4 linked regions of the Tamandua tetradactyla genome follow. The protein of the gene in region 4 interacts with the protein of the main gene of each other region in a pairwise test. Links are inferred from orthologs where the notes say so. Each region holds a gene or a part of one and is shown on either strand. Other genes may lie near its edges.

Region 1 (7,647 bases), on a different chromosome or scaffold from region 4:
TATCAAAGGAGGAATTTGAGGGCTGAGTCCAGGATAAAGGTGGTTGCCAGAGTAGAGAGGGATGAAAGGGAGAGAGCTTTCTCCAGAGCCTTTTGGGCAGGGGGGAGGCTGGCACTATACTGACTGGTTGGAAGTTCTTATAATGGGGTCTTGCTCCAAGGTCCTAAGCCTCAGCTGGAAATTTGGGCAAACTGCTGGCTCTCTCGGCCTCAACCCCATCACCCCTCCCATGGGATAACAATGCTTTTCTTGTAAGGTTGAGCTATTGTATTTGTGAACCCTTTGAAGGGTGGTCACACACCCCAGGCCTTGACCTGAGCACACACCGCATGCACGGACTGCTACTTTCAAGTTCAGCAGTCCTACAAGGGAGAAAACAACCCTCTCGCGTACTACCATGTGTCCCGCACAGTTCTCATAGTCTCTCCCTTAATCCGAATATTCATATAAAACATCTCCTCCCGGTTTACACAAGAGGAAGCTACCAAAGACTGATTTCTTCTTTCTTCTCCCTAATCCACACCTACCAGGGAAGCTCTGTTCTAGACAGCGAGACCTCAGTACTGAATAAGACAAACAGCTCTATTCTCATGGAACATACATTCTAGTGTGGGAGAAAGATTATAAATGAACCAAAAATAATTTCAGACACTGGTAAATGCTATAAAGCAAACAAAGCAGGGTGATTTAATAGTGACAACCACGGAGGGGCAATCATGCAAGAAACTGTGAAACGTAGATTTCAAATAGAGGGACCAGCCAATGCAAAGGCCGAGATACAAAGGGACTTGATGTGTTCAGGAACAGAAAGGAAGTTAGCGTGGTTTGAGAATAATGAGGGTCGCAGGAGGGGACAGGAGTCAAGGTCCGAGAGCAGGCAAGGGTCAGACTATATGGGGTATTCCACACAGAGCTAAGGAGTAGGATATTATTCTAAGCGCAAGAGGGTTTTAAGCAGGGAAGTGACAATCTAATTTCAGGCTGTTGTGGGAAGAATGGACAAGGGAGGCCAGCTTCAGAGGTCAAGGTCCTACCACCACCACTAGTTTGCAAACGGCACCCAGACTTGTTCTTTCTGCTGAGTCACATTTTATATATTGTAGTAGGATGCTTACTGGAATCTCAAATTTGACAAAATGGGGCTCTCATGATCTCTACAACATTAGCCAAACCTCAACTTCTCAGGCCCTCCCCTTCTGCACCAGTCAAATGAGGGTAACTGCTCAGGAGTCTATAATGACAATTAAATGAGAACACGTATATACACATACTTTGTGTTCTTCTGGCAACCGTCGATGAAGAGTGAGGGTCTGCTGTGTGCCAGGCACTCATAAAGTTGTCCTACAGTGTTAGGAATTTATGATTAGAGTAAACGTTTGATTAAAATTTACCCTGTTTGACAAAAACTAAGGGCCAGCCCTCATTCCTCATGGAAGGTGAGGGTAGAATGAACACTGGGTTCCTAGTCTTCAATCTTCACTGCTCCCTGCAAACTGTCCATGAGGCCAAATATTCTTGAGAAGCATCTTCTCTGAAGAGGGAGGGAACATAAAGGTAAGGAAAAAAAAAGAATGAACACTTTACTGGGGAGGTATGACATTGAGCCAAAGGATGTTGGGATTTGCCCTACTCAAAGAGCTTCAAGTCAAGAGCCCATCACCCCAGAGTCAGTTTTCTATCTACCTGTAAAACCAGGAAATACCTATCTTCCCTCAGAGGAGACACCCAACAGTCAACTAATGAGGCACGGGGAAAGCACAATTAATGGGAAGGTTTCTTCCCTGCTCCTTTGAGAGTGTGGAGGAGAGTTGAAAGTTCCTTGCCTATATGTAAAAGGTTGGGGATTCTCAACGAAAGTGGTTGAGTTTATACAGCTCTTGGAAATCCATCCCACTAGAAAGGGGCAAATCAGGCCAGTCATTCCTCCCAAGCTCTAAGCAGACATGACAACTGCTAGCACCTAAGATAAACAAGGAAGCCCAATTTCTAGTTTCCATGACAGCCCTCACTAACTCCTTTCAGCTACCACCCCCCGAAAAGGACCAAGACATGCCAGGTCTATCACACTGCCAGGCTATCACCCCCACAACCCCACTGTCCCCAATCTTTAACAGAACAACCAAGACCTGGGTTTCTGTTACAGATACCTAGAATGAGTGTGTTGCACCTGGGCCATTCTGCTTTGGGAGAAGAACAAAGGAAGCAGAGAGAAGCCACAGCCTGGATAGGCACCACTAGACAGGATAAGAGAAAAAAAGCACTGATTTGGTTGGAAGACAGTCAGTCTCTAATGAAGGAAAAATCTCTGAGTACCTGGTTGCTTTTTCAACAGAGCACCCATAAACAACTGGTACAAATGGGCTCGATGTGGGACCTGTGTAGGGACCGAGGCACGCCCATCCCCTACTTCACATCTGGTCCCCAAACCACCCTTCCCAGCCTCAGCCCAGGGGCAGGAAGGGCAATGCACAGGCGTGGCTTCCAACCCACCTGGACTTTTCCATATTGCCAATGCCCACCAGCACTTCTGTTTCCCAGGGGAGGGGGATGCAGGGATCACATTTCAGCTACCCCCACCTTCTGCCACAGGAGGCAAACTGGCAGGGGAATTTTTGTTTTCTCCATTCAGTCTCCCAATTTTGTAGCCTCTCTTTCAATTAGGCTGGTGTTTCTTAAACTACAATTATTCAGTCTCAACTTATATATATATATATTTAACACAATTGTATTCCCTGTGCTACTATTTACGTAATATTTCTTTATAATGAGTCATTAATTTTACTTACATTTATTTTAAAGGGAAACACTGTGGCATTAGGGTAAACGGAAAATCTGCATCACTATCCCACGCAGAACTTGCTAGATATATATACTCTAATTGTACATTAAAATACATAACTGTTTTGATTTTTTTTGGGGGGGGATGTGCATGGTCCGAGAATCGAATCTGGGTCTCCCGCACGGTGATCGTTTTTTTTAAAGTCCATTCATGTACCGTTTAAAATAATCTCGGGGGACAATACAATGGGAATTCCTGCCTTAGCGGTGCAGTGGCTTTCTCCCTTTAGCTGTCCGGGAGCTCTGGGCGCCTAAACAGAAAAACCAACTCCAAGCTCTCTGATCTCCAGTTTCTCCCCCAGGTTGGCAGCGTCCACACTGTCTCCTAGGTACTTCGAGAGAAGGCAAGGGCAGGAGAAAAGAAAGGCGCGCAGTTCCCAGTTCCCATGCGAGGCGACGTGAGGGCACAGAGTCGAGGGTGAAAGGAACTGTAAATACCCAGTCTAGTGAAAGACATGGGCGGGGAGGGACTGACCTTCTCGCGCAGGGTGCAGTGGACATCCGAGGCGACGCGTCCTTCCCACCACGGCTCATCCATCATCGCGGACGCAGCGCCGCGGTCCGGGGCTACCGGGATCTCAGGGTGCACCCTGCATAGACACCAGCAACTTCAGTGGCCCGAGCGCGACCCCCGGCTCCGACCCCCAGCATCCCCATCCTCGCTCGCCGGGTACCGGGGACCCGGACGGGCGCCCCCTCCTGCCTGGCTCGGAGGAGCTGGCGGTCGCCTCCCGTCCCGGGAAGGCTGAGGTGCCCCCTCCCTCTGCTCGCTGGACCCGAGGCGATCTGGACTTTTGCAACAACTTGCAGAATTTTGATTTTTCCCTTTTGCAAAAGTTGCAGGGAAAGTTGCCGACTCTGCCAGCTCGCCCTAGGCTAGGGCTCCTCCCCCGCCGCCTAGCCTTTGTCCTGCTCCCACATCCTGCCCTCGAGCGGGGGTCGAAACTCACACATCCCTCTCCCGGCGTGGGGGGCTGCGGGCGCCAGGGCCCTCCCAGGACTGAGCCGGCTGTGCTCCCGGGCGCCTGCACGCGGCTGGGCCCCCGACCCGGGCGCTCCACACTCTAGCTGCCGCCTCCGCAGCCCGGCTGGCCCCGGCAGACGCCGCGCCCCGGCGTGCGCTCGACTCCCGCCGCGGCTCGCAGCCTCCCGGCCGCCCGGGGCCTCCCTCCCGCGCTGGGGGAATTGGGGGCCGGGCTTCGCGCATGCGTCGCCGGTGCCCCGCGCCCCGAGGGGCGGGGGGCTGGGAATTAGAGTGTGTCTTTCGCCAGCGCTGGCTCGGCTTCCTGCCCGCCTCCCACCCTCGCCTGGGTGGAAAGCTTCCTCGCACCTTCACCCAGACGCCCGGTGGCCTCCTGGACAGCCCCACGCCGGGCTTCGCAAGGCGTCACCTGCGCGCACCACGCGAGAAACGCGCGAGCAGGTCCACCCAGAAAGTTCTGCCCCCGCGTGCAGCGCCCTAGCCAACCTTCCGTCGGCTTCACCTGTTTTTCTCTAACCGTTTTTTTAAGGAAAACACCCTGTCCCAAGAAAGGGAGATAGATTAACAAACGGACCATTCTCAAGAAAGTCCCAGAAAAGTCACTTTTGATTATCCACGAGTCCGTAATTCTAAGGGATGCCCACTACTAGTTAACTGGTATTTATTGTGCTCCTGTTCCACGCTAAAACTGGAGGAAGCCCACTTCTTTTTGGAGAATCCGGCGGATGGAAAGCATTGTCTTTTTTATTCAGTTTATTGATTTCGAAAAGGGACTCTCTTCTGGAGCCGATTTGATGGCACAGCATGGTCGGTCCTCTTGGCTGACTTGAGTGTGTGTGTGTGTGTGTGTGTGTGTGTGTGTGTGTGTGTGTGTGTGTGTGTGTGTGTGTTTGATACTTTTGGAAATTCACAGACTTGGGACCAAATCCAACTTTTCCCACCTACCAGTTGGGGAATTTTGACAAGTTCCTCAAATCTGAGCCTAGAATTGTTCATTTATAAAATGGGAATAAGAATTGCACCAACTTACTGGAGGTATTGTACTTTTGAGATAAATAGGTTTAAAGGGATTATCGTCATGCCAGGTTATGTAATGAGCACTCAGTGAAACAGCTGTTCACGAAAGAGTTTTTAGTTCTGACGCTTTCCTGCAAGGAAAGACCCAGCGGGGGGGCGGTGGGGATATTATATATTATATATATGTATATATATCAGCTGTGATGAAGTTCACCTGGAGCTTGAAAACAAGTCAGTGTAAAAAGGCATGGACGTTTGTAAAGTGTAACCTAGAAATGAACTTAATAAATTAGTACAGGCTCTAAATGAAGAAATTATCAAGTTTGAAATATAATAGACTTGAAGACCTGAAGAAATAGAAGAGGATAAACATACCAACTTTACCCAATTTATTCTATTTAATAAAATTCTAATGCTAAATGGAGGAAGGGACAGTTGACAATTTTTCTAACATTCATATGGAGAATAACTGTGAGAAGCTAAAAAATTTATATTTTAAAAATGTGATAGACCTATATTACCAAATCTTAAAACATTGCAAAGCTATGATAGTTAATACACTGTGGTGTTGACACAAGAATGATGGACAAGTATCAGTGGGATAGTTGAAAGTCTAGAAACATACACACATATTTAAAAATTGACCATATGATAAAGATGGCATTTCATTTTGGTGGGGAAAAGGATAAATCCTTCACTAAATTAGGCTGAGAAATTAGTTAATTTGGGGGGAAAACAGCAAAACTAGGGTTTATTTACAATCACAAAATAAATGTAAGAACCCAAAGAGCTACAAAATTGATCAGAAGAGAATTAGAAGAAAACTTAGGTGACTTATTTCAGAGGGAAAGGCCCAAGTACTAAGGCATTGGAGAAACCAAAGGCAAAGATTGGTAGATACATTTTAATAAGTATGTGAGATTCTGATATATCAAAAATCATCACCAAAATAGGCAGAAATGACAAATTGAAGAAAGCATTTACAACAAATATGACAAAAGATTGGTCTTACTATATAGACCTCTTGTAAGTCAATAAATAAAACACTAACACCCTAAATGCAGAAATGGATAGAGGACAAGAACAGGCATGGTGTGATAGAAGAAATTCAAATGTATAAATACAATTTTTAAAATGCTCACACTCATTAATAAAAACATTAAAAGTTTAAAAAACAGTGAAATGCATCTTTGTCAAAGATTCTTAAAAATATAGTATACAGGTAGGGTTGACAAATATACAGCGTCGTTTGGGCATATAAATTAATGTCATCTTTCTGAAAGGCAGTATGAATCCTAAAGTTTAAAACGTATCATGTGATCCAACTTTTCCATCTCTGGAAATTTATTCTATAAAATTAAGCAGATGAGCACAGGAATTTATTTATAGGGGGTTTCATCACAATGCTTCCTTAATTAGAGAGAACTATTAGAACAGGAAGCTGGTTAAATAACTATTTAGCACTTTAAAAAACTTTTTTAAAGAGTGTTTAATGACTTGGGAAAATACTTATGATATATTAAGTGAAAAAAGAGATTAAAGTATTATGCCGGTTATACTCACATTAATTCACACACATACGTACATAGGAAGGAAACTGAAAAATGTACATGAAAATATTAATTATATTATGGGAAATTTTCATTTTTTTAATTCTAGTATGTCTGTATTTTCTATAAAAAACATGCATTACTTTCATCTTGATGATGTCACTCCTCATGCATTATTTTCACAACCAGAAAATAAAAGGAGAGAATGTTATTTTAAAATAATCACATAATGTACTTAATAGGTGTGGTTTTCCATTGAACAACTCACAATGTTGTTGTATGCAGAGAACACTGGAAAAAGGAAGAGCTGCATTATTCTCTCATTTGGACTCCCCTTTACCTAAACTTCAGCTTTCAGTTATCAGGAGAAAGGGAAGCAGAAACTTTGGGCTTTCCTCCAGGGGCTACTTTAAGAGCATTCTAAACACATGCACACCTGCACTCCTCTGTATTTTATTCTCAGGAATCTGTTATTTTCGCAGGAGCTCTGAAGAGTAAGAATCTATTTCACCAATAAATTGATGGTTTTGGTCGTGAGTTTGTTTACAGGTAGAAATGGTGTCTGTGCCCTTAGGAGAGGGTGGCTCCTGGTGCTGGAGATCAGGGAACACTGCAACTAAAGTTACTGTTCCCACCCACTCCATCTTCAAGGAGCCAAGGAGCCAGCCAGCCTGCCTTCCTGCCTTCCTTCCTCCCTCCCTTCCTTCTTCCTTCTTTCCATTTTCCTTTCCACCCTCTTTATCAAGTACTTGCTATGAGCCAATTAACCCTTCTCCCTACTCTCACAACCTCTGAGGCACCCAGTTGGGAAACACAGACTCAGACCAAGCACGTCCTACTACCTGCAACTGTCCCTGAGAAAAACGAGGAAAAGAAATTCTCTGCCCTGTCTAATCTTCCTGAGTACAAATTGGCCAACTCTCTCCACCATCATATTATTTTATTGAGTTCTCACTTTGCACCCAACTTTCCTTGCTCTCTTTATCCCTTCATATGCCATAGACTCTCCCATTTCTGCACATATGCCCACGTTCTCAGGCCTCCTTCTCCCTACACTGTCTCTAGGCAGAGAGGTGATCTGCGCATTTACCACTATAGACAGTCATGCCTTTTTTTTTCTTTTACAGAAATGGTAGCATACTAGGCCCACTTTTCCACACCTTGTTTATTTGCAGTTGGGAGATTCTGCAGTTTGTTTAAGGTCAGGACAAACAGGGCTGGCTCACAATATACCGTAGTCCTGTGGTGTGGATCCATCAT
Region 2 (8,438 bases), on a different chromosome or scaffold from region 4:
AGTAATTCTCAATATCATCACATAGTTGCATATTCATCATTTCTTAGACCATTTGCATCAATTCAGAAAAAGAAATAAAAAGACAACAGAAAAAGAAATAAAACAATAACAGAAAAAGATTATACATACCATAACCCTTACCCCTCGCTTTCATTTATTACTAACATTTCAAACTAGATTTATTTTAACATTTGTTCCCCCTATTATTTATTTTTATTCCATATGTTCTACTCATCTGTTAACAAGGTAGATAAAAGGAGCATCAGACACAAGGTTTCACAATCACACAGTCACATTGTGAAAGTTATATCATTATACAATCATCTTCAAGAAACATGGCTACTGGAACACAACTCTACATTTCCAGGCAGTTCCCTCCAGCCTCTCCACTACATCTTGAATAACAAGGTAATATCTACTTAATGTGTAAGAATAACCTCCAGGATAACCTCTCCACTCTGTTTGGAATCTCTCAGCCATTGACACTTTGTCTCATTTCACTCTTCCCCCTTTTGGTCCAGAAGATTTTCTCAATCCCTTGATGCTGAGTCTCAGCTCAATCTAGGGTTTTTCTCAATCCCTTGATGCTGAGTCTCAGCTCATTCTAGGATTTCTGTCCCACGTTGCCAGGAAGGTCCACACCCCTGGGAGTCATGTCCCATGTAGACAGGGGGAGGGTGGTGAGTTTGCTTGTTATGTTGGCTGGAGAGAGAGGCCACATCTGAGCAACAAAAGAGGCTCTCTTGGGGGTGACTCTTAGGCCTAAATTTTAAGTAGACTTGACCTGTCCTTTGTGGGGTTAAGTTTCATATGAACAAACCGCAAGGCTGGGGGCTCAGCCTATAGCTTTGGTTGTCCACACTGCTTGTGAGAATATCAAGAATTCAACCTGGGGAAGTTGAATCTCTCCCCGTTCCCACCATTCCCCGAAGGGGATCTGGAGGTTATTCTCACATGTTAAATAGATATCACCTTGCTAGTCAAGATGTAGTGGAGAGGCTGGAGGGAACTGCCTGAAAATGTAGCGCTGTGTTCCAGTAGTCATGTTTCTTGAAGATGTTTGTATAATGATATAGCTTTCACAATGTGACTGTGTGATTGTGAAAACCTTGTGTCTGATGCTCCTTTTATCTACCTTATCAACAGACGAGTAAAACATACGGAATAAAAATAAATAATAGGGGGAACAAACGTTAAAATAAATTTAGTAGATTGAAATGCTAGTGATCAATGAAAGGGAGAGGTAAGGGGTATGGGATGTATGAATTTTTTTCTGTTTTCTTTTTATTTCTTTTTCTGAATTGATGCAAATGTTCTAAGAAATGATCACGATGATGAATATCCAACTGTGTGATGATATTGTGAATTACTGATTATATATGTAGAATAGAATGATCATAAAATATTTGTGTTTGGGCGGGCCATGGTGGCTCATCAGGCAGACTTCTCACCTGCCACACCAGAGACCTGGGTTCGATTTCCGGTGCCTGCCCATGCCAAAAAAAAAAAAAAAGAAAAAAGAATATTTGCATTTGTTTGTTGTACATTTTTTAAAAATTTAAAAATTAATTTAAAAAAAAGCTGAAAAAAAAATCCCCATAAAGCAAGAGACATGGGGACCAGGCTCCACGACTGTCCGTCCATCTCTGACACCCAAAGAGACCAGTGGAGGGTCAGGGGCACGCTGCCCACCTTGGGGTCAGGCTGAAGGCCAGGGCATCAGGGAAGGAGGTGAGGTGACAGCCAGCATGGGCAATGGGGGAGAACCTGTCTGTGGGGACTTCGAGCAGTGAGTTATTTCCATGTAAGCAAACCTGGAGGGGAAGGTATCAAACCACCAGGCTGGACAGGGGCGAGGCTATGCTGGGAAAATGAAAGGAGTCCCCAAAACAACAAGGGCTGGTTGGTGCAAGGGAATCAGAAAGGAAGGACTCAGGAAGGGGCACACTGGGACGGGAGCTTTGGCATTAAATCCCTTCGTGACCCTGGAAATTTGCCTCTTCAGTCTTCCTGGTCACAAAATAATATCCCATTTCTAGAAGCAAAAGGCACCTCACCTGGACCTGTGAACTGGTAGATGTAATTGTTTTAGCCAAACTTCCGTCTCCCTAGTTTTAACCTTTCCCTTCAATTCCTGAGTAAGGTGATAACTCTCTGGAGGTGTTTGCAATTAAATAGGAATGTATTGAATTATAACAGTAAAACATCTGGAATGGTTTTCCCTGAGTCTTTACATTTGGACATTTAATTTAGGGTCAACTTTTCCTGATCTTTGACCACCTCTGGCTTCCTTTCAGGCTGGCTCTCTGAAGCCCTGAGAGCACTCAGGGTATATATGTGTTTCGGGGGGTGGGGGGGCAAGAGGTATGATTATTGTATTAGTTGGGGTTCTCTGGAGAAACAGAATCAACAGGGAATACTCGCAAATATAAAATTTATAAAAGTGTCTCACGTGACCGCGAGAATGCAGAGTCCAAAATCCACAGGGCAGGCTGTGAAGCTGACGATTCCAGTGGAGGGTCTGGACGAACTCCACAGGAGAGGCTCACCAACTGGAGGAGGAAGAGAGCCTGTCTCTTCTGAATCCTCCTTAAAAGGCTTCAGTGATTAGATTAAGCATCACTCATTGCAGAAGACACTCCCCTTTGGCTGATTACAAATGGAATCAGCTGTGGATGCAGCTGACATGATCATGATTTACTTCTATGAAATGTTCTCATTGCAACAGACAGGCCAGCACTTGCCTGACCAATCATACAGGTACCACCACCTGGCCAAGTTGACACATGAATCTGACCATGACAATTAGAGTAGAGGGGATCCGTTAGAGTCTCATCTTAAACCTCTTTGGTGAATAAACCTCATTCATTCTCGCCCAGATTTCAAAAATGAAGTGGAGGCTTTTGCACTACTTTGCATGCCAAGAGCAGCGTTGTCGGCACTCTGCCTAGCACACAGCAAGCCTTCAGAAATGTCAGCCACTGACACCACCACCACCTGTGTCATTTCACTACCCTTTTTCTCTGTCATTGTTCTTTACTCCCATCATTTGTCTCTACCTCCGGATCCAGTACCCATGCTGGCCGTGGCTTTTTTCTTCTTCACTGTCAAAATGAGGCCTGACTTTATCCTGAGCCTCTCTATAGAGATTAACAATAAATTACAAGAAATTAAAAAAAAAAAGCAAAAGACAGATGAGGTTCTTGAATTCAAGGTTTAAGAACCCCGGAGGTCTTCTGGAAGGAGGTGGTAGAAATTCCACAGTCCTTGGAGGCAACTGCCCTCTCCAGGGAAGGGTTGGTTGTTTTCAGTCATTTGGGCAGGGCTGTTGAGTAATCAGGCTGTTTAGTAAGCAATTACTGTCTAAGTAGAGTAATTGCTTATGATTTAAACTTTCCTGAATGCTCAGTCTCATGCCTCTGACCACTCACTGTTGCCCACAAAAAAGGGATGTGCTGAAGGCCTTTTGGGTTGTGCAGGCTTGCTTTTAAGTTGTTCGATCTGTGGTTTGCAGTTTTCCCTCTAAGGCTTTTAATCCTTGCCAAACACAAAGTGACTGCCCCTAGAAACTTCCACACACACAGCCCCCAATCTATCGATAATTTGCTGTTGCTGAGGAATCAGATAACTACGTTTATTAAAAGCACATGAAACAAGAGATTAGATGCTCTATATGTGGAACACTTTAGGGCTCTTATGGAGAAAGTTTGGGACCCTCCAGAGCAGGGTCTCTCAACCTCAACGCCACTGACATTTTGGACCTGAAGTTCTGTGCTGTGTGGGTGCTTCTGTGCATAGGGAGATGTTTAGCAGGTTCCCTGGCTCCTCCCCACTAATACCAGTAGCATCTCCTTCCCCAATTGTTACAGACAACCCGAAACGACTCCAGACATTGCCCTATGTCTCTGGAGGACAAAATTGCCCCTGGTTGTGAACCATGTCTTTAATTAGACTTTGTGATGCTATTTTCAGTCGTTTTTTTTTAATTTGCCTGTATTTTTGTGGATTTTTTTGGTTCTGTGTAGTTGTGATTAAAGGACTTATATATTAATTTGTCTAACATTTCATAAAGTCATGTGTGTGTGTGTGTGTGTGTTCAGTAAAAGCATAAGCAGGGGGATGGAATAGTCCTAGATTATCAGCAGGAACCTTGTCCACTTTTGGGATCCTTCCTAGTTCCAGGCTAAGAACCGCCACCCAATTCCACAGTGCTGCCCCTCCTTCCCTACCCAGACTCCTATCACTACTGAGTTTGGTTATTTGTCCCTCTACCCCAGCCTCACCTTCGGCTCAAGTCATTTCCTCAGCTTGCCGGCCCTTCACCCACTCTGGGAGACCAGGTCCCAGCACCCTCCCTGGATGGCTCCTCTCTGCTGGCCAGCCTCCCATCACCCACCCGGGCCTTTTGGCGTGGGGCGATTCTGGCTCCTGTGGCCTGTCAATCCACTGTGTGTGGTAAGTTGTCTCCCCTCACCTGCCAGTCAGTTCCTAGACAGGAAGACCAGCTTCCACTAGGTCGGCCCCAGACCCCAGCCCAGCCTGCGCAGGTAGCCAGAAGCGACTCAAGCTCACTTCGCTGCACGTGGCATTCAATCCCTGCCCGTGGCTGCCCTTCCCATCTAGTTTTCTGATACTTTTCCGAACATCCTTTTTCCAGCCGACTCTCCAGCCCCTCAGTACTCCCAGAGCCAGCTTAAGGTGTTCCCTGGTGGGATTAATCCACGCCCCCAAGCCCAGGTACTACTCACCCCCTACACACATCTATAGCATCTGGCACACGACCTTGCCTTAATTTAGTCTGAGCCTGTCTCCCCTTCCCCAGGCTGGGGGCACCTCGGGGAAAGGGACGGGGGCTAGGGGCGTATTATTCTTGTCCTTACAACCCTCCCTCAACCCCCCTTTGGATCTGACGGCCTAGCATTTAATCCAAGTGTGCTGGATGGAACAGGGTGGAACAGAATAGGGTAGAAAGGGGCTGCACACACGTCACATCCTATGAACACCCGGGATCGCGCCCTCTGTCATGTCCCCTGACACCGGCGGCCGCGCGAGGGACAAACTCCGGCGGAGACCGCAAGGCAGGCACAGGCAGCGGGCTGGGGCGTCATGTGATTCTCCAATCACATGATGCCTAAGAATAAGGGTGCGGAGAGAGAGGAAGTGGGAGGGAGGAGAGTGACTTGGGCAGGAAAGATACACAGCATTCCAGTCTGGCCCCGCCTCCACGTCGACAAGTGACCAATGGGAGCGCGGCAGCGGCCCCCTGGCCTATGGGGACGGAGGTGGGCGGGGCAGAGGCGCCGCAAGTCCAAGAGCGGCGGGGCTGAGGCCGCTCAGGCAGCGCCGACTCCGAGGCCGAGTGGGAGGCCGCCCGCGCAGACCCCTCGCTTGCTCCTGCCTGGGGGCCCGGCCGCGGACGGTGAGCTGGAGGCTCCTCTGGAGTCTCAGACGGGAGACAAGAGGAGACTCGCTTATAGAAACTGCTGGGGGGGTTCTCCTGCACTGGAGGGAGTTCTGTAGGCGAGGGAGCGAGCTGTCACTACAGTGACCCGCCCCCTTAGAAGGGTCCCCTCTCCAGGATTCCCGGAAACTGCAGCCCCTTCCCCGAAAGCAGAGACCGACCAGCCCGTTCTTGAGCCAGCTTCACCCCCTGTTAGCAGGTGCCGGCTCCTTCCTCTCCTGGTGGGGGTGGGGGTGGGGGGCGGGGGGCGTTCCCGCGACTTCTTGGAGAGGGGAAGCGCCTGCCGCTCGTCCCGGAGCTCGGAGGGGTTGGGAGGGGGAATTGAAGCTCAGGCCTCCTCGAAGGTGGAAGGGATCTGGAGTGGCGAGAGAGCCCCGAGGTGGTGCCTGGCGCTTCCTTACTTCCTGTCGTGGGGGGAGAATGTGGGAGGCGGGACGAGCTAGCTTCTCTCTCTTCCTGTCACTTTTTCCTGCTCAGTTGCTGCTGGGTTGGCCCACCTTTAGGGAATCTCCCTCAGCCCCGGTACTCGGAGTTGGGGGTGCCTCCTAGTGGAAGATGATGGTACTGGGGGCTGGAAGAAGCTTCTGTCCTCTCTGTTGTGGTAGTGTGGGGTGTGGTGAGAAAGGCTGCCACTCAGAACCTGGTGAAGAGGAACCAGAGGGAAATTGAGCCTCTTGGTCCTGCATGCCTCGCTGTGTGCGTGTGCTTGCGCACGCATGTATGAGTACATTTTCGATAGAAGCATACACCATACTTCCTAACCTCAGGATGCACAGGAAGGAAAATATACATAAATAAGTCATGGAGGCCTAGATGGGTGTGGACAGGCACCCTTGTGGCCTAAACCAAGAGCAGAGCCTGCTGTGTGGTGAGGTTGGACCCACCACCAACACCCACCCAAGAAACAGATGAGTCAGAGGCAGATGCTTAGGTGGTGGAGAGAGAGAAAGGGACAGTGGGCCCAAGATTAGACGTCATCATCCTTTTCGGGCTAGGAGATGACTTCTTGGGAATGTTCTTTGAGTTGAGAGAGGGACACCTGAGGAAAGCCAGGTAAAGGGGAAAGAAGATTTAAGGGACTTGGTGGAATTTCCCAACCTCCTTCCCTTTGCCTCCCACTCAGTGCTGCCACACATAGACCATGGGGACCCTGCCCAGGGACAGGGAGCAACTTTTGAAGCTCTCACAGTTGGTTAGTGGCCAATTCTAGGACCAGGACCCAAATGCAGTTTCCACATTGTACCCCCTGTTTCCACCCTGCCTGGTTCACCTGCCCAGAAAATCTTTTTGTTCCCCTCCCTCTGCTTGGACCCAGGTGCTCTGTCCTTCTGGGGGTTCGTGTCTATTCTGGGGCACTGGCCAGGGTGCCACTTATGAAATAAATCCAGGTCCAGTGTGTTCTGCAGCCATCAAGCCTGTCATCACCATGATTTGTTATATGACATGGGCGTGTTACTTGACATCTCTGAGGCTCCATTTCTGCCTTTGAGAAGTAAAGATAATTACTACTTTGGGTGGTTGTTGCAAAGAAGAAATAAAATGACCAGTGCTGTCACTGGCCACCAAGAGGCTCAACACACCTTCCTGTCTGCTCCTCTAGGCCCAGTAACAAGCCCCAGGCCTGCCCTGTTGAACTCACAGGGCTGCTGAGCTTGGGGGAAGTGCTGTTGGGAAGTGAGAGTCTATACCCCTCAGGGACATGAGGGTCGGTTCCTCCTGCTGCCTCAGATTGGCAGACAGGTGGGCAGGGAGGCCCTGGCAGGGCACATATGCTCTCTCTGTGCTTGTGGCTGAGTTTTGGCCCCGAAGGTTTGGGGAGAGGTAGGGCAGGGGATTGTTATGTCTGGGGAGTCTGATAGGGCGCTGATGGTGTTCGGGGGGGTCCCTCAGAGAACAGAAGTCTCGGAGGTTGACCCAGGCTGTGGGAAGAAGGGGACAGTGGTGGGCAGGCAGTGGCTGGCCTCTGGAGAAGGTAGCTCCGGCCCCACAAGCCACCACACTTCCTTTCTCACAACTTTCCCCACACTGTGGTTTCCCACATCACCCTGTGATGACTCCCACACAGGCACAGCAGGTGTGAGCACAACGGGGGGGGGGGGGGCGAGCGGGCACTGGACGGCATTGGCTGGGGAAGGGGAGGCCTGGCTTTACCTCAGGGAAGGTGGGAGCTCCCTCCCTCCAGCGCTGCTCTCTCCCAGGGTTACTGCACCCCTCCGCCCCCCAGTGGCCCATGTCCCCAGAGATCAGACCGCCAAACCCCACATGCCTTCCTCACTGGCACCTGTGATTGTGATTGCGAACCACCCACAGAGACGCAGGTGTCAGGCCATGGGTCGGGGACACAGTATATGTATATTCATACTGACATGGCCAGGAGATGACTTCTTGGGGATGTTCTTTGAGTTGAAAGAGGGCTCCTCCAGGAGACATGGTGGGAACTGAGTCTCAGGCTCCATATCTTTCTTCCATCCTGGACAGTGAGTTGTTGGGGATGTTCAGGCAGGCCTGTGGGTGAGTGAATCAGTGCTCAGAATCGACAGCGGCATGGGCTTAAATCGGTTGCCAATTTTTGTGAACAGACAATGTGGACCCTGGTGAGCTGGTTGGCCTTGATGGCAGGGCTAGTGGCTGGAACACAGTGCCCTGACGGTAAGCTCTGCCCTGTGGCCTGCTGCCTGGCTGCAGGAGGAGACCGCTACAGCTGCTGCAGTCCCATAGTGGTGAGTGCCCCACACCCAGGCAAAAGCTGGCAGCCTGGATTTTCCCAAAGGGTCGTCCTGGAAAAGGAGGAGGCCAGGCAGTCTTTCAAATTAACCTCTCCCCTTTCTTCCCAGGACGAACAGTCCTCTCTGCTCACGATACAGAGTAAGCCTATGGGCACACCCTGCCAGATTGATGCTCACTGCTCTGGTGGCTCCTCTTGCCTCCTCACTGTCTCAGGGACCTCCAGCTGCTGCCCCTTCCCACAGGTGAGGGT
Region 3 (8,226 bases), on a different chromosome or scaffold from region 4:
GCGGCTGGCGGCTGGCGGCTGGCGGCTGGCTGCTGGCTGCCGAGAACGGAGGCCCACATGAGCTCCTCAGGGAATGGGGAGGACTCATGAAAGCACTTTCCATCCTTTCTGCAGCTCTGCAAAATGGGCGTTATATTCCCACTTTATTGCTCAGAGCGGTAAAGTGAATTGCCCAAAGTCACACAGGGCAAAATGGTGGAGCCAGAATTTAAACCCTGGTCTGTGGGCCTCCAATGTCCCCTGCTGTCTCAGAGACACAAAGAGGTCACACTGTGAGACACAGGAAAGGCCAGCATGGGCGTCTCGGAATTTCGGTCAGAGAAGTCTTCAAAGGCCATCTCGCCTCATCCACCAAAGGTCCAGTTAACAAATGGAGAGACTGGAAGAGGAATGGCCTTGAAACATGGACGCACGATTAGTGCATATTAAATTAGTGCAGAAATGATGGGGAATTCAACAGATGGTGTTGGAAAATCCAGCCATCCATTTGGAACAAATGAAGTTAGACCCTTACCTCACACTCCATCCCAAGCTGATTTCCAGCTTCTGCCCTCCCCATCCTCACCACCACGCTCTCAGTCATTGCATACGCATGTGCTGAGCCCTGCTCTGGGCCAGCCCTGCTGGGCCCTGGATACTGGGAGATAAACCAGGCCTGGACTCCATGCGGAGCAGCCTCCAGAGACAAATGACCAGCAAGCAGGCAATGCCAATCCTGGGAATGAGTGTGGTGAGGAAGGAAAGCACAGACTGCTTAGAAGCACAGAGGCCAGATCCTTAACAAGGCCAGTTATCAGGGAGGGATGGCCTGGAGGACTTCCTAGAGGAGACACCAGCAATGAGGCTGGAATATGACAAGGTTGTGGCACCACAATCCAGGAGGAGTGAGGGAGTGTCAGGTTCATAGGCACAGAGAAAGGCAGCTTTTGTTTTGGGGAACTGGCTTCTCATGGGATTAGAGAATCTCTCTCTATGTCAATAGAGAATTTTCATCTCTATTGTCTATTTTTTTGCTTAATTTATCATTTTTAATTTTTTAATGATGCTTTTGCATTAAAGGTTTAAATTTTTATGTAGTCAAATCTATCCCCCTTCCTTTATACTTTTTACATTTGGTATTGCACTTAAGAAAGAAATAGTTCACTCATATTTTAGACTGGTATTTTCTTGGCTTCACTGCTTACGTTTAATCTGTAATCCATCCATCTATCTGTAGCTCCACGTGGATGTCCATGTGCATGGGGAGAGGTCTGAAAGTCTTGTCTCTAAAGCATTAAGACCAGAATTTCTTTGACCTTACACCTTTTCAAATTGTTTGAGTTTTCTCAATAAATGTGTGCTATCTTTCTAAACAGAAAAAAAAAATCATTTAATCCATCTGGAATTTATCTGGGTTTGAGGGAAGAGGTAGGGATCTAATTTTACTTTCACAGAAATGGATAGTCAGCTGTCCTCCCTGATATTTGCAGCACTATCCACACGTTTACCACACACTATAATCATATGTATGAAAGTGGATTTGCTTTCTGGTTTTCCTGTCCATCTTATGGCAGCCCTTTCCCCTGGGTGCTGGCTCTGCCTGGCGCAGTTCCTTCACACCTCACTGAGCCCTGCTCTCCGGATCACCGCGGTGGTCCTGCCTGTGCTTTGAGGTCCCACAGCTCGGCTGTGCCATCAGCCCCACACTGGGAAAAAGTGATTGAGGGGGGCCTACCCGCCGAGCCTGCCCATCTGCAGGCCAGACCGGGGGTTCCCCAACCTCTCAATAGTCAGCAGCCTGCTCTTCCCTCACCCAGTTCCAAATGGGGAGATTGGTACACAGGAATAGCTTAGGAAGGGTCCATGGGAAGGGTGCTGGGAGCTCCAGGAGAGGAGGGGCACGTAGGTCCTGGATGGATTACCTTGGCTCTGACCCCAGGAGATTTGGGGGAGGGGGCAGTGTGGGACAGTTTGAGATGTAGGGTAGCATTAGGGTTGAGCAGGGAAAGGGATTAGAATCCCCACCCCCACCCAGCTCCTGAGCAGCCTAAGAGGCTGGATTTATTTTTCTGGGCTGCAGAGAGCTGGGCAATTAAGGCTCCGTCTGCCCTTGCTGGGGTACACTTAGAGCCATTCATTAGGCAGAAAAATGAAATGAGGCCCGGCCTGGAGCAACCCCTCCCCACCCCCATCCCTCAGGCTCCATCAGCCCATGGGAGAGACTCAGAGTGGAAGAGCTGGGGGGCCCTTAGAAAGCACTACCCAGAGCCCCTCACAGGCATGACAAGGTCACAGGGTAGGGGGGACCCAGTCCCTCTGCTGGTGCCCCCCACACCTGCTCCATCTGTGCTCCCAGATGAGATGCTAAAGGTGTTCATGGCGCTTCATAATAAGGGCTTAGCCGCCTCCCCTGGAGCTGCTACAGCCAAGCCAGGTACCCTGAGTGCTGTTTCATAGGGAGCGAGGCTGAGCACAGGGGACCCTCAGCCACAGACACCGTGTTTATGTTGTCTCGATAATTCCTCAGCTCCCTGCACAATAACAAACTGGCCCCTAGCCAGCCCTTTCTCTCTATCAGGGACGTAATGTCATCTCCCATTTTTTTATTCTCATAGAAGCCCCAGAAGAAGGTATTATCGCCGCCATTTTAGAAGTGGGAAAACTGAAGCTCATCTCTGACCTGCTGGATCACTTTTCCCCAGAGTACCAAAGAAGAAGACGTCACCACTTTGAAAGTTTGTAGGGAGGGCACGTTTTTCCCAGGATTGGAACAATGGTCCTTCTTGTACAAAACACAAAGCACACTGGTATCCATTACCTAACTGGACCCTCAGGCCAGGCATGGACTGATATCTCCATCTAACTCCCAAGCAAGCTTTGGCCCAGAGAGGGTCAGGGATGTGCCTGGGGTCATACATCAAGTCAGTGGTAGAGGAAGGTGAGCTCAGGCCACATGTGCCCCAGCCAGGAATGCCTGGCTGAATCCTCTATACCCTGGAGTCCACCCTGAAGGCTGCTCTGTCCAGGAAGCCCACCCTGATTCCTTAGTGATTTCTCTGGGCCTAAAGCATGGGAGACGCGGGAGTTGAGTTTCTCTTGGCCTCAGCCTCACCTAGAGAACAGAAGCATCACAGATGACTCCCAGGGAGACGCCTGGCCCTGGCACTGTGAGATCAACAATTCCATCTTGACCAAAAGGGGGAAAAGAAGTGTAACCAATAAAATATCAGTGGCTGGGAGAGTTCAAATAGAGTTGAGAGGCTACTCTGGAGGTTGCTCTTATGCAAGCTTCAGTTAGAGCTTGCTACCTATCATAACCTGCCAACCCCCAACCAGGACCATTCCAGCCAATCCTAAAGAACACCGAGGGCAATATATAAGATTCCACAAGGGTTCCATGCACTGGGGTAAGTTTCCAGAAACCTACAACCTCCAGATGGGTGTCTGGACCAGATAAGTCCTGAAACCTAGAGGGCCCAGCCTCTCCAGAACATCAGCTAGTTCCATCTTCCTATCCCATATTACTGACAGCCTCTTCCAATATGAAAAAGTTAGAATGACCATAGCCTAAATACCCCTAAAGAGTGGGATAGCAAGATCAAAGGTGATGGCAGAGTTAGACAGAGAAGATAGGGCTTAACAAACGAACATGATTGCTGAATCATTAAATTGATATTTCAATCCTGCTCAAACTCTTCAAAAAAATTGAAGAGGTGGAAAAACTACCTAACTGATTCTATGAAGCCCATGTCACCCTCATAGCAAAGCCAGACAAAGATATTAAAAGAAAAGAAAACTATAGGCCAATCTCTCTAATGAATATAGATGCAAAAATCCTCAACAAAATTCTTGCAAATCGAATCCAGCAGCACATTAAAAAAATTATGCACCATGACCAATAGGATTCATCACAGGTATGCAAGGATGGTTCAACATAAGAAAATCAATTAATGGAATATACCATATCAACAAATCAAAGCAGAAAAACCACATGATCATCTCGATTGATGCAGAAAAGGCATTTGATAAAATTCAACATCTTTTATTGTTGAAAACACTTCAAAGGATAGGAATAGAAGGGAACTTCCTCAACATAATAAAGGGAATATATGAAAAGTCCACAGCTAACATCATCCTCAATGGGGAAAAACTAAAAACTTTCTCCCTAAGATCAGGAACAAGACAAGGATGTCCACTATCACCACTGTTATTTAGCATTGTGTTGGAAGTTCTAGCCAGTGCAATTAGACAAGAAAAAGAAATAAAAGGCATCAAAATTGGAAAAGAAGAAGTAAAACTCTCACTGTTTGCAGATGATATGATACTATATGTCGAAAACCCAAAAAAATCCACAGCAAAACTACTAGAGCTAATAAATGAGTACAGCAAAGTGGCAGGTTACAAGATGAACACTCAAAAATCTGTAGTGTTTCTATACACTAGTAATGAACAATCTGAGGAGGAAATCAAGAAAAAAATTTCATTTATAATTGCAACCAAAAGAATAAAATATTTAGGAATAAATTTAACTAAAGATACAAAAGACCTGTACAAAGAAAACTACAATAAATTGTCAAAAGAAATCACAGAAGACTTAAATAGATGGAAGGGCATACTGTGTTTATGGATTGGAAGACTAAAAATAATTAAGATGTCAATTCTACCTAAATTGATTTACAGATTCAATGCAATACCAATTAATATCCCCAAAACTTACTTTTCAGAAATAGAAAAACCAATAACCAATTTATCTGGAGGGGTAGGGTGCCCAAAATAGCTAAAAATATCCTGATAAAGAAAAATGAAGTTGGAGGTCTCACACTACCTGACTTTAAGGCATATTATGAAGCTACAGTGGTCAAACCAACATGGGACCGGCATAAAGATAGATATATCGACCAATGGAATCGAATAGAGTGTTCAGATATAGACCCTCTCATCTATGGACATTTGTTCTTTGATAAGGCAGTCAAGCCAACTCACCTGGGACAGAACAGTCTCTTCAATAAATGGTGCCTAGAGAACTGGATATCCACATGCAAAAGAATGAAAGAGGATCCATATCTCACACTCTGTACAAAACTTGACTCAAAATGGATCAAAGACCTAAACATTAGATCTAAGACCATAAAAATTTTAAAAGAAAATGCAGGGAAATATCTTACCAATCTTGTAATAGGAGGCGGTTTCCTACACTTTACACTCAAAGCACAAGCATTGAAGAAAGAAAATAATAAATGGGAACTCCTCAAAATTAAACACTTTTGTGCATCAAAGAACTTCATCAAGAAAGTAAAAAGACAGCCTACATAATGGGAGACAGTATTTGGAAATGATATATCAGATAAAGGTCTAATACCCAGAAATCTAAAGAGATTGCTAAACTCAACAACAAAAAGAGAACCCAATTACAAAATGGGCAAAAGTCTTGAATAGACACTTCTCAGAAGAGGAAATACAAATGGCTAAAAGGCACATGAAAAGATGCTCAACTTCCCTGGCTATTAGGGAAATGCAAATCAAAGCACAATGAAATATCATCTCACACCCACCAGAATGGACATTATCAATAAAACAGAAAACGGCAAGTGCTGGAGAGGATGTGGAGAAAGAGGTACACTTATCCACTGTAGGTGGGAATGCCAAATGGTGCAACCGCTGTGGAAGGCAGTTTGGTGGGTCCTCAGGAAGCTAAACTGATATTTCATTTAGTCTTCAGTATCTTAGAGCAGCTAGAAGTAAAAGACAAAACTGTGGAATTGCAATCCATACTAAACTCTGAAATCTATACTACAACTCGATCTGTTGCGCTGTGCTTTGAAATTTATTGCTTTTTTGTATATATGTTATTTTTCACAAAGAAGAAAAGAAAAGACAATTGTGATGATAAAAAAATATTGATTCTTTCTAGCCTCCTATATTCTGGAGCAGCTAGAAGGAAAAATCTGAGATGATGGTATGGTAGCCTGTGACAAACTCTGGGATCTGTCCTGTAACTACTTATCGAAGAGTGCTTTGAAAACTATCGCTTTTTTCTTTCTTTGCTTTGTACATATGTTATATTATAAAGTTCAAAAAGAACAGAGGCCTCAGTATGAGACCAAAGGAAGAGATGTTTATTTGGTGCAAATTTTATATTTTTGGTAGCACAATATCTAACTGAACTTGTACGGTCAGTTTATTCAAACACCTTAATTACATGGAATACTGAATAAGGAGTGAGATCTTGTTGGTTTGTACAGGTCAGTGTGATGTCTGTATACATCCCAGAGTAATCTGGACAGAGGACACAAAAATATTTGCAGGGCCCCCTGGGGGGACCGGGGAGAAAGGAGGAAATATTAAACTTCCAGATCTGGGGAATTCCTGATATTCTCGTGAGGGCAGTGGGGACAACCAACTCAGAAGGCTGAGCCTTTGATCCTGGGGTTCGCCCCTGTGAAACCTATTCCTGCAGAGGGGAAGCTAAGCTTATTTATAATTAGGCCTAAGGGTTACCCCAGAGAACCTCTTTTGTTGCTCAGATGTGGCCTCTCTCTCTAAGACAACTCAGCAGGTGAACTCACTGCCCTCCCCCTACAGGAAACATGACTCTCAGGGGTGTAAATCTCCCTGGCAACATGGGACATGATTTCTGGAGATGAGCCAGGACCAAGCTTCATGGGATTGAGAAAGCCTTGATCAAAAGGGGAAAGAGAGAAATGAGACAAAACAAAATTTCAGTGGCTGAGAGATTTTGAACAGAGTCAAGAGGTTATCCTGGAGATTATTCTTATGCATTATATAGATATCCCCTTTTTAGTTCATGGTGTCCTGGAGTGGCTGAAGGGAAGTACCTGAAACTGTTGAGCTGTGTTCCAGTTGCCTTGATTCTTGAAGATGATTGTATAACAATATAGCTTTTATAGTGTGACTGTGTGGTTGTGAAAACATTGTAGCTGACGTTTTCTTTGCCCAGGGTATGGATAGTTGAGTGAAAAAATAAAAATGAAAATGAAAATAATAGTAACAAAAACAATGGGTGGGGGGGATAAGGGGTAAAAAAAAAATGGGTAGATTGAACTATTAGTGGTCAATGAGAGGGAAGGGTAAGGGGTAAGGGATGTATGAGTTTTTCTGTTTTCTTTTTATTTCTTTTCCTGGAGTGATGCACATGGTCAAAAAATGATCATCCGGATGAGTACACAATATGTGATGATATTGTAAGCCACTGATTGTATACTTTGGATGGACTATATGCCGTGTGACAATATCTCAATAAAAATATTAAAAAAAAAAAAAAACACAAACATCTCTAAATATCAAAATGAAAAAAAAAGCACAGAGGTCCCAGCAGGCTACTCCCAGGTCTGAGGGGGCCTTGCTGGGGTGTTGGTGGGCGGGGGGAGGACTGGGAGGGCTTTGGACTCAGTGCCCAATCCTCACCCAGGTCCCCTTTTTTCCCTCCTCCCTCCCAGGGCTGTGCGACTCTAGAGGGGATTAGCAAGAGGACATGAGTAGGGAACCTGAGGTCCAGAACCAGGCCCAGCCCATGCCTGTGGGCATGGGGGTCTCACTGACAGCACCTCGGGTTCTGGATTCCCAGTCTTGACTCGCCTAGAAAATTCACGTCAGCACGTGGAGGGCTGCTGGCGCGCCTGCCTCTGGGCCGAGAGCTGCGAACGACCCGCAGCAGCGAGAATTGTGCCGGTAAAGCCCCCTCTATGGGCTAGGCATTCACACAGGCCATCTCGTTTGATTCTCATTTGATTCTTCACACCTTCAAGGGGGTGATAACGCTCCCCATCCCTCAGGAAGGGAAACCGAGGCGCAGGGACAGAGGGATCTCTTTCATTGATTTCATAAACGTTTGCCACACATGCTCTGCTTTCAGGCTCTGCGCCTGGCTCCAGGAACCAGTGCTCTGCCATGCCACTCCAGGGGACAGGTACTGTGATGGGTGGAGGAGGGAAAGGGAGGGCAGGGACACCTTTAACCAAGAAACATGCTGAAGGGTTACGCGATGCAGGCAGGAGAGCTGGGATGAGTCTACATCTACGTGCTCTCTCCATTGCCCTAGGGAGGACCAGAGGAGAGTCAGCCCTGAAGGGAGAGTCAGGAGGTCTGGCTCTAAGGCTGTTGCTGGCCACTGTGGTACCTGGAGCCACTCACTGGGAGGGCAGAGGGCAGTGGGTCCTATGGGCCTCAGTTTCCTCAACCGTACCACAGAGATGCTTAGCGTGCCTGAGCTACATATTTGGGGGAGTG
Region 4 (5,582 bases):
GCACAGTATGTTTTCTTACATAGTAGGAGGGCAATACATTTTCTACTGAATTAAACAATAGTTTAATAAATGACCTAGAGCTATGTTTTGAATCTGAATATGAGTTTTCAAGGCATATATACAGAGGAGAATAGCATACTGGTCTTCATGATGACTCATGCAAAAGGGTGAGGACTTGTAGAAAGCAGCATGTTTGGGAACCTAACCATAGTGAGACTGTGGATTATTTGCAATGTTGAACCAAAGGGAATGAAGCCAGAGAGAGCAGAGGGATAAAGACAATGAAAGAAACCAGACCACATGCTAAGGGGTTTAGATTTTTATACTATGGAAATAGATAAGCCATCAAAGGTTTAATAAGGGGCAAGACATGGTTCAGTTTTGCAGCTAGAAGGAACATTCTGCTAGAAGTATGTTCACTGTAAGAGAAAGGGGTAAGGAAGATCATTCCTAATTTTGCCCTTTCATAATAACTTCCAACAGCAGGTATGTACATTTCTTAAGAATATCTAGGATCACAGGTCTAGAGAGCAGCTTGTGGAATAAGCCACCAAGCTATACCCCTTCTTCCAAGTATGAACATATGGTTTGAATATCATCTCTCCTATGCATTCAGATTGCAAGCAGGTGAGATTGGTAATTTCTTTGTCAGATAAAGCAACAAAGACACATTGATGAACCAGATTCTTAATTCTGACTGAATCTACTTTATTACAATATAAGGCAAATAAACTCTTCTCACACATGAGTGGCAATGAAGAGCTTGTAAACCAATTATTTGAGGTCATGAAGAAATGAAAACAATTAAAAATCTGAAAGAAGCAACTGGTATTATATAGGACACAGTAAAACCAAGAAAAAGCAGTTTCTACTAGGAAAGAAGCAAAAAGTCCATGAAGTATGAATGTTTGTTCTGGTTCCTCAGCAGGATTATTGTCTGGAACAAGGAAGTTACCGTTCCAGCGCTCAGTAGGATGGACAACAAGTGCTGACCACATGAGTCAAAGGTTGACAACCATGGGAGAGAAGATGCAGAGGTCTGAGGCTGCTGGACACAACACTAAGTGGTGGAGGACCACTGGTCAAACAACCTAAGGGTCGGCATCCATAGGTGAGGAGGCTCAGGGGACGGCAGCTGCTAGATAAACAATTTAAAGGTCTATAGCCACTGGGAGCACAGCTTACGGGCTGGAAGCTGTAGAGAAGAGGTTTGAGTGGATGACAGCTGCTGGGTACGTAGTTCAGAGGTCTAAAGGTTACCGGAAGGCAGGAACTGGGGTTGTGGGAAGATGTAGGAAGAAAGCTGGTTCGTTGGCAGGATCTGGGCACATGGTATGCAGTGGAAGAGCAGCAAGAAGTTCCACGGTTATTGGTAACACAGATGCCTGGCTGGCAACTGGTTGGTTCTCCGTAGGTTTCTTTGGTTGGTTCACTACATGTCTCTTGGAAGTTGTCCAGGAGCCAGATACTGCCTTGACAGCTACTGGGTAAGCAGAGGACATCTCCAGATCTCACATTAGTAGAACAGTGGGCAGTGGAGGAGGTAATAGGAATGTGGCAAGAATTTCTGAATGATCCCATGTTGTAGTTTCTAGAGCAGTAGTTGTGGCAAGCCATCGTGAGGTATGAAGAGCAGGCTGTGGTTCAATGGAAAGAAGTGCCTGAGTTTGATTATACCTCTCTTAGGCTTGATCCTTTATATATAGCTAGAAGGTGGTGGTTCTGTATACAGACTCCCTTCTTCCTTGTTGTATGAGGCTGCATCAGAACTCTTTATTATAGCACAGGAAGTAGAGACCACATAAAACTAGATGTCCTTTTTAATGCCTTCTGTCAATGAAATGTGGATATAAACCCATGTGGCTGGATATTAATAGAATGTCTCCTTAAATTATCCAAACAAAACAGACACTTTAGAAGCCCATGCATTTTTTTCCAGTTATAACCACCATTGCACAAACATTCTTAAATTCCTCTCTTGGAATTGTCTTTAACTCTTGTAGCAAACTTCTCTGAATCTGTGGCAAATTGTTCACTCTTAGGAGAAATTTTATACTTTTCTGAAATTGTCCAAAGTAAGGAGCATGGAAGCAAGTAAGTTGAAAAAGAAAGTGGTTAATTCTATAACCCATATGGCTTGGGGTAGAAAGAGTATAAAACTTGTATAATATGGAAAAACTCTATGTGCCAAATTTGTGCTTTGTTTTATTTGAGAACACTAGTAGAAGGTGGCTTCCCACACACATTTTTATCACAAAATGTTCTCATTTATTCACTTCAATAAATAAATTGAGTTAAGATGGAAGCTTGGTTTTTGTTTGAGATATTCTTTAATATAGATGATAGTAGTTGGGCTTAGTTAAAATTATGGATTCTACTATGAACAAAAGCAAATAAACAGACTGCTTAAAGAAAATTGGATGACATGCCATTTTTCATGACTATGAAAGGCCTTATTTATTTCATGGTATACTCATATTCTAACTGGAAATTATCGTTCTTGGTCAAAATAAGATATAATGGCGGGCCGCGGTGGCTCAGCGGGCAAAGTGCTTGCCTGCTATGCCGGAGGACCTCGGTTCGATTCCCGGCCCCAGCCCATGTAACAAAAACGGAGAAACAGAATACAATAAAACAAGAAAATGTTTAAAAGATGTTTCCCTTTCTTCCTTCCTTCCTTCCTTCTATCCTTCCTTCCTTCTCTCTGTCTTTCCTTTAAAAAAAAAAAAAAAAATAAGATATAATGATTAAGACATAGATTCTGTTTTATTCCTTACATTAGTTGTGAAATTCATTTCAAAAGAGGTGCTCACGGCTGGCTGAGTCTTGTGAAATCCTGAATGCATCAACTGAATGGCATTGGTAGTGGGTAAAGCCATCTTAACTGAATGTTTATGAAAACTGTGTGTTGATGCTTTATGTCTGCTATTCTATATTATAAGTAAGTACCTAGCATCTGTATCATTAGTCCACCCACATATGGGGATCTGTATGCATATGCAGTGTATATGTAGTATATATGTTAATGTTTCTCCATCCAATAAATGGGTGTCGAAAAAGAGGCAAGGTAACTAGCATTTGCTGAGTCCTACTATGTGATAGACCATTGTGGTGTAATGTCACTTTATCCTCATAATTCTGAACAGTATTTTTACTATTCCAAGTGTTTATATGAGAAAACGTGAATTTAGAAAGTATGGCAATTGATATTAAGAAAAATATCTGAAAATAATGCTCCTTGAGCCCCCAAACAATTTTCCTCCCTCTTTCCAAAATAGTATTATGCAAAGTGCACTAATATGATCATCTACTATCTGTGAGGTCCTGGACAATTTTCATAATTCTTCTGAACCCTAGTCACTACCAATATCATTTGTATGGAAATGAATATATTAACATCAATTTTCAAATTACATTTAGAGGATTAGATATAATGAAATAGTTAAAAAGTTAATGTGACCATCAGACACTACAAAAGAATATTTTGTTTGTTATTGCTATCTTGCTTTGACATCCGTCTGCCATTCTGAAGACAACTGCCCTTGGGTTCAATTGCTTTAGAGTACTACCATGAGGCTATTTAATTTTTTTCTGGTATTGAGAGGTAATCCTATAAAAATATCTATAGATTTTTAGAAAATATGGTGTCCCAAAAGTAAACTACACCTTAAGGTAACATATATTGAACTGGTGTTATTTAAGAGTAGCTGTGCCACTAAAATGAAAGGGCTTATTTGGGCATCACATTAGAAGCCTTATCAGGAGAAGCCTTAAAAGGCTTCTATAAACTACAGTTTGGGGGCTCTTTTTCTGATGCAAGGACCCAGGTATACTATGAGGAATTGGGTATCCTGTGTTGCTCCCCCATTTATACCTACACTGTTAGTTTTTCTTCAAGGAGCCAAGGATTTTTACTTCTCTTACTCTAGAGGTAGAATTTCAAATTTTTCTCTCTTATAGGTAAAGAAGACTCAGAGAATTGCAACAATAAGGATATGATAATAAATGACAGGCATCTCATACATTCATTCACCAAATGTTTATTGAGTATCAAATATGTGCAAAACATTATGATAGATTCTGAGATGATAACAGGATACAATTGGCTTCTGCTCTTGAGACACACCTAATCCTGTAGGTGTGGTAAAACAAATACACAATGCATGACTGTATACCACTTTCTATTAGTGAGATTCAGAGAAGAGCAGACATAATAAACTGGCTTTATCTAAAATTCAGCATTTGAAATTAATTTTGAAAAATGGGAAGAAATGACCAGTGGTTTGGGGAAGGGAAGGACACATCAGGCTATGGTCAAGTTTTAAAGACAGAAAAAATGAAAGCCCAGTGATTTCAATTGAGGGTTATTGGGCAGGAGTTGTAGTAACTAAATTTGTATTCATATGCTGAAAGATTTAATCATCTGAAAAGTTATTGACATTTTGTTCTGCAGGCATGTTTATTCTAAAATGGATTTTAAGAAGAGAATGCTGAGATTAAGCAATATTTTGTGACATTCAGCCTTACTCCAAAATACAGCACAGATCGAAATGAGGAAGTACCTATTTTAATGTTTCTTTCCCTCAATGCTACATAAAATTAATTTTGTTTTTTCATCCATTTTCCTCCCTTTCACTGCCATCACTCAAGTTCAGAGATTTGCATCTTTGTTAAATACATAGATTTCTTGTTGGCATCATTGGCTCCTATACCTATTGCCTTATATTTATCCTGAACATTGGATTTAGATTATTACCCCCTCAAATAAATTTCATCAGATGACTCTTATACAGAAAAATGTTGTTGACTTTCATTTAGCCAAAGAGAATTTGCCCAAACACTTGGTGGTCCTTCCTTTGCTTCCCAGTAGAGACCCTTTTCTGCCTTTTGACTTGTTGGCCCATGCGATTAATTACTCCACATTACCCTTGTTTCACATTATCTGTTCACTTGTCATTGGCTTCTCACTTGGAAAAATCATTCTTTAGTATTTTCCATTATTCAACCCCAGTTAAATTGCCCTATTCTTTACAAATTCCTTCCAGACCATTCCTACCAATTTTTCTCCAGCCTTTAAATATTTATAGTTAGATTTGCCTAATACGCATACACACACACACACACACACACACACACACACACACACACACCCCTTGGCTTGCAAGGAAAACCTTTTGTTTTCTATATATGTCTTATTTTTCCCAACTATATTATGGGCTCTTATTAGCCACTATTTACTGCATCCTTATTATACCCTAGACACTATTCTAAATGTTTTAGATATTGCTTTAGTTATCTAAGCTAGTGAAAGCAGATGTCATAAAATGGATTGACTTTTAACAATGGAAATTAGCTTGTGGTTTTGAGGCTGATAAAAATGTCCAAATCAAAGCATTATCAAGGTGATGCTCTCTTCCCAAAGATCAGCTGCCTTTGATCCTTTGGTCCAGTGTCACATGTCAAGGCACATGGCAGCATCTACTAGTCTCTCCCTTCTCTTATAGGTTTCATTGTCTTCACCTTCTTGCTTCTGTGGCTTTCTTCTTTCTTTCTGTATTCATTCTGTTTATATAAAGGACCCC

What was found.
Region 1: the proteins of KRTAP26-1 (region 4) and CCNJL interact in binary tests that used the Homo sapiens proteins (3 or more experiments, as listed by UniProt). The two-hybrid records come from large-scale screens. The link is inferred for Tamandua tetradactyla from reciprocal best matches to the Homo sapiens genes KRTAP26-1 and CCNJL.
Region 2: the proteins of KRTAP26-1 (region 4) and GRN interact in binary tests that used the Homo sapiens proteins (3 or more experiments, as listed by UniProt). The two-hybrid records come from large-scale screens. The link is inferred for Tamandua tetradactyla from reciprocal best matches to the Homo sapiens genes KRTAP26-1 and GRN.
Region 3: the proteins of KRTAP26-1 (region 4) and GDPD5 interact in a two-hybrid assay, tested with the Homo sapiens proteins (2 studies listed by BioGRID and IntAct). The two-hybrid records come from large-scale screens. The link is inferred for Tamandua tetradactyla from reciprocal best matches to the Homo sapiens genes KRTAP26-1 and GDPD5.

Annotation. Positions count from the first base shown.
Region 1 is NC_135346.1:41,538,241-41,545,887, forward strand, and holds the start of CCNJL (cyclin-J-like protein), read right to left. Parts: upstream 3,482-7,647; 5' UTR 3,380-3,481; coding exon 3,314-3,379; intron 1-3,313.
Region 2 is NC_135332.1:23,122,573-23,131,010, reverse strand, and holds the start of GRN (progranulin), read left to right. Parts: upstream 1-5,306; 5' UTR 5,307-5,419; intron 5,420-5,578; 5' UTR 5,579-5,660; intron 5,661-7,704; exon of another isoform or gene 7,705-7,966; intron 7,967-8,040; 5' UTR 8,041-8,043; coding exon 8,044-8,181; intron 8,182-8,295; coding exon 8,296-8,430; intron 8,431-8,438. UniProt on the Homo sapiens protein: Secreted protein that acts as a key regulator of lysosomal function and as a growth factor involved in inflammation, wound healing and cell proliferation. Regulates protein trafficking to lysosomes, and also the activity of lysosomal enzymes.
Region 3 is NC_135334.1:70,096,328-70,104,553, reverse strand, and holds the start of GDPD5 (glycerophosphodiester phosphodiesterase domain-containing protein 5), read right to left. Parts: upstream 3,328-8,226; 5' UTR 2,795-3,327; coding exon 2,660-2,794; intron 1-2,659. UniProt on the Homo sapiens protein: Glycerophosphodiester phosphodiesterase that promotes neurite formation and drives spinal motor neuron differentiation.
Region 4 is NC_135336.1:89,679,041-89,684,622, forward strand, and holds KRTAP26-1 (keratin-associated protein 26-1), read right to left. Parts: upstream 1,618-5,582; coding exon 967-1,617; downstream 1-966. UniProt on the Homo sapiens protein: In the hair cortex, hair keratin intermediate filaments are embedded in an interfilamentous matrix, consisting of hair keratin-associated proteins (KRTAP), which are essential for the formation of a rigid and resistant hair shaft through their extensive disulfide bond cross-linking with abundant cysteine residues of hair keratins.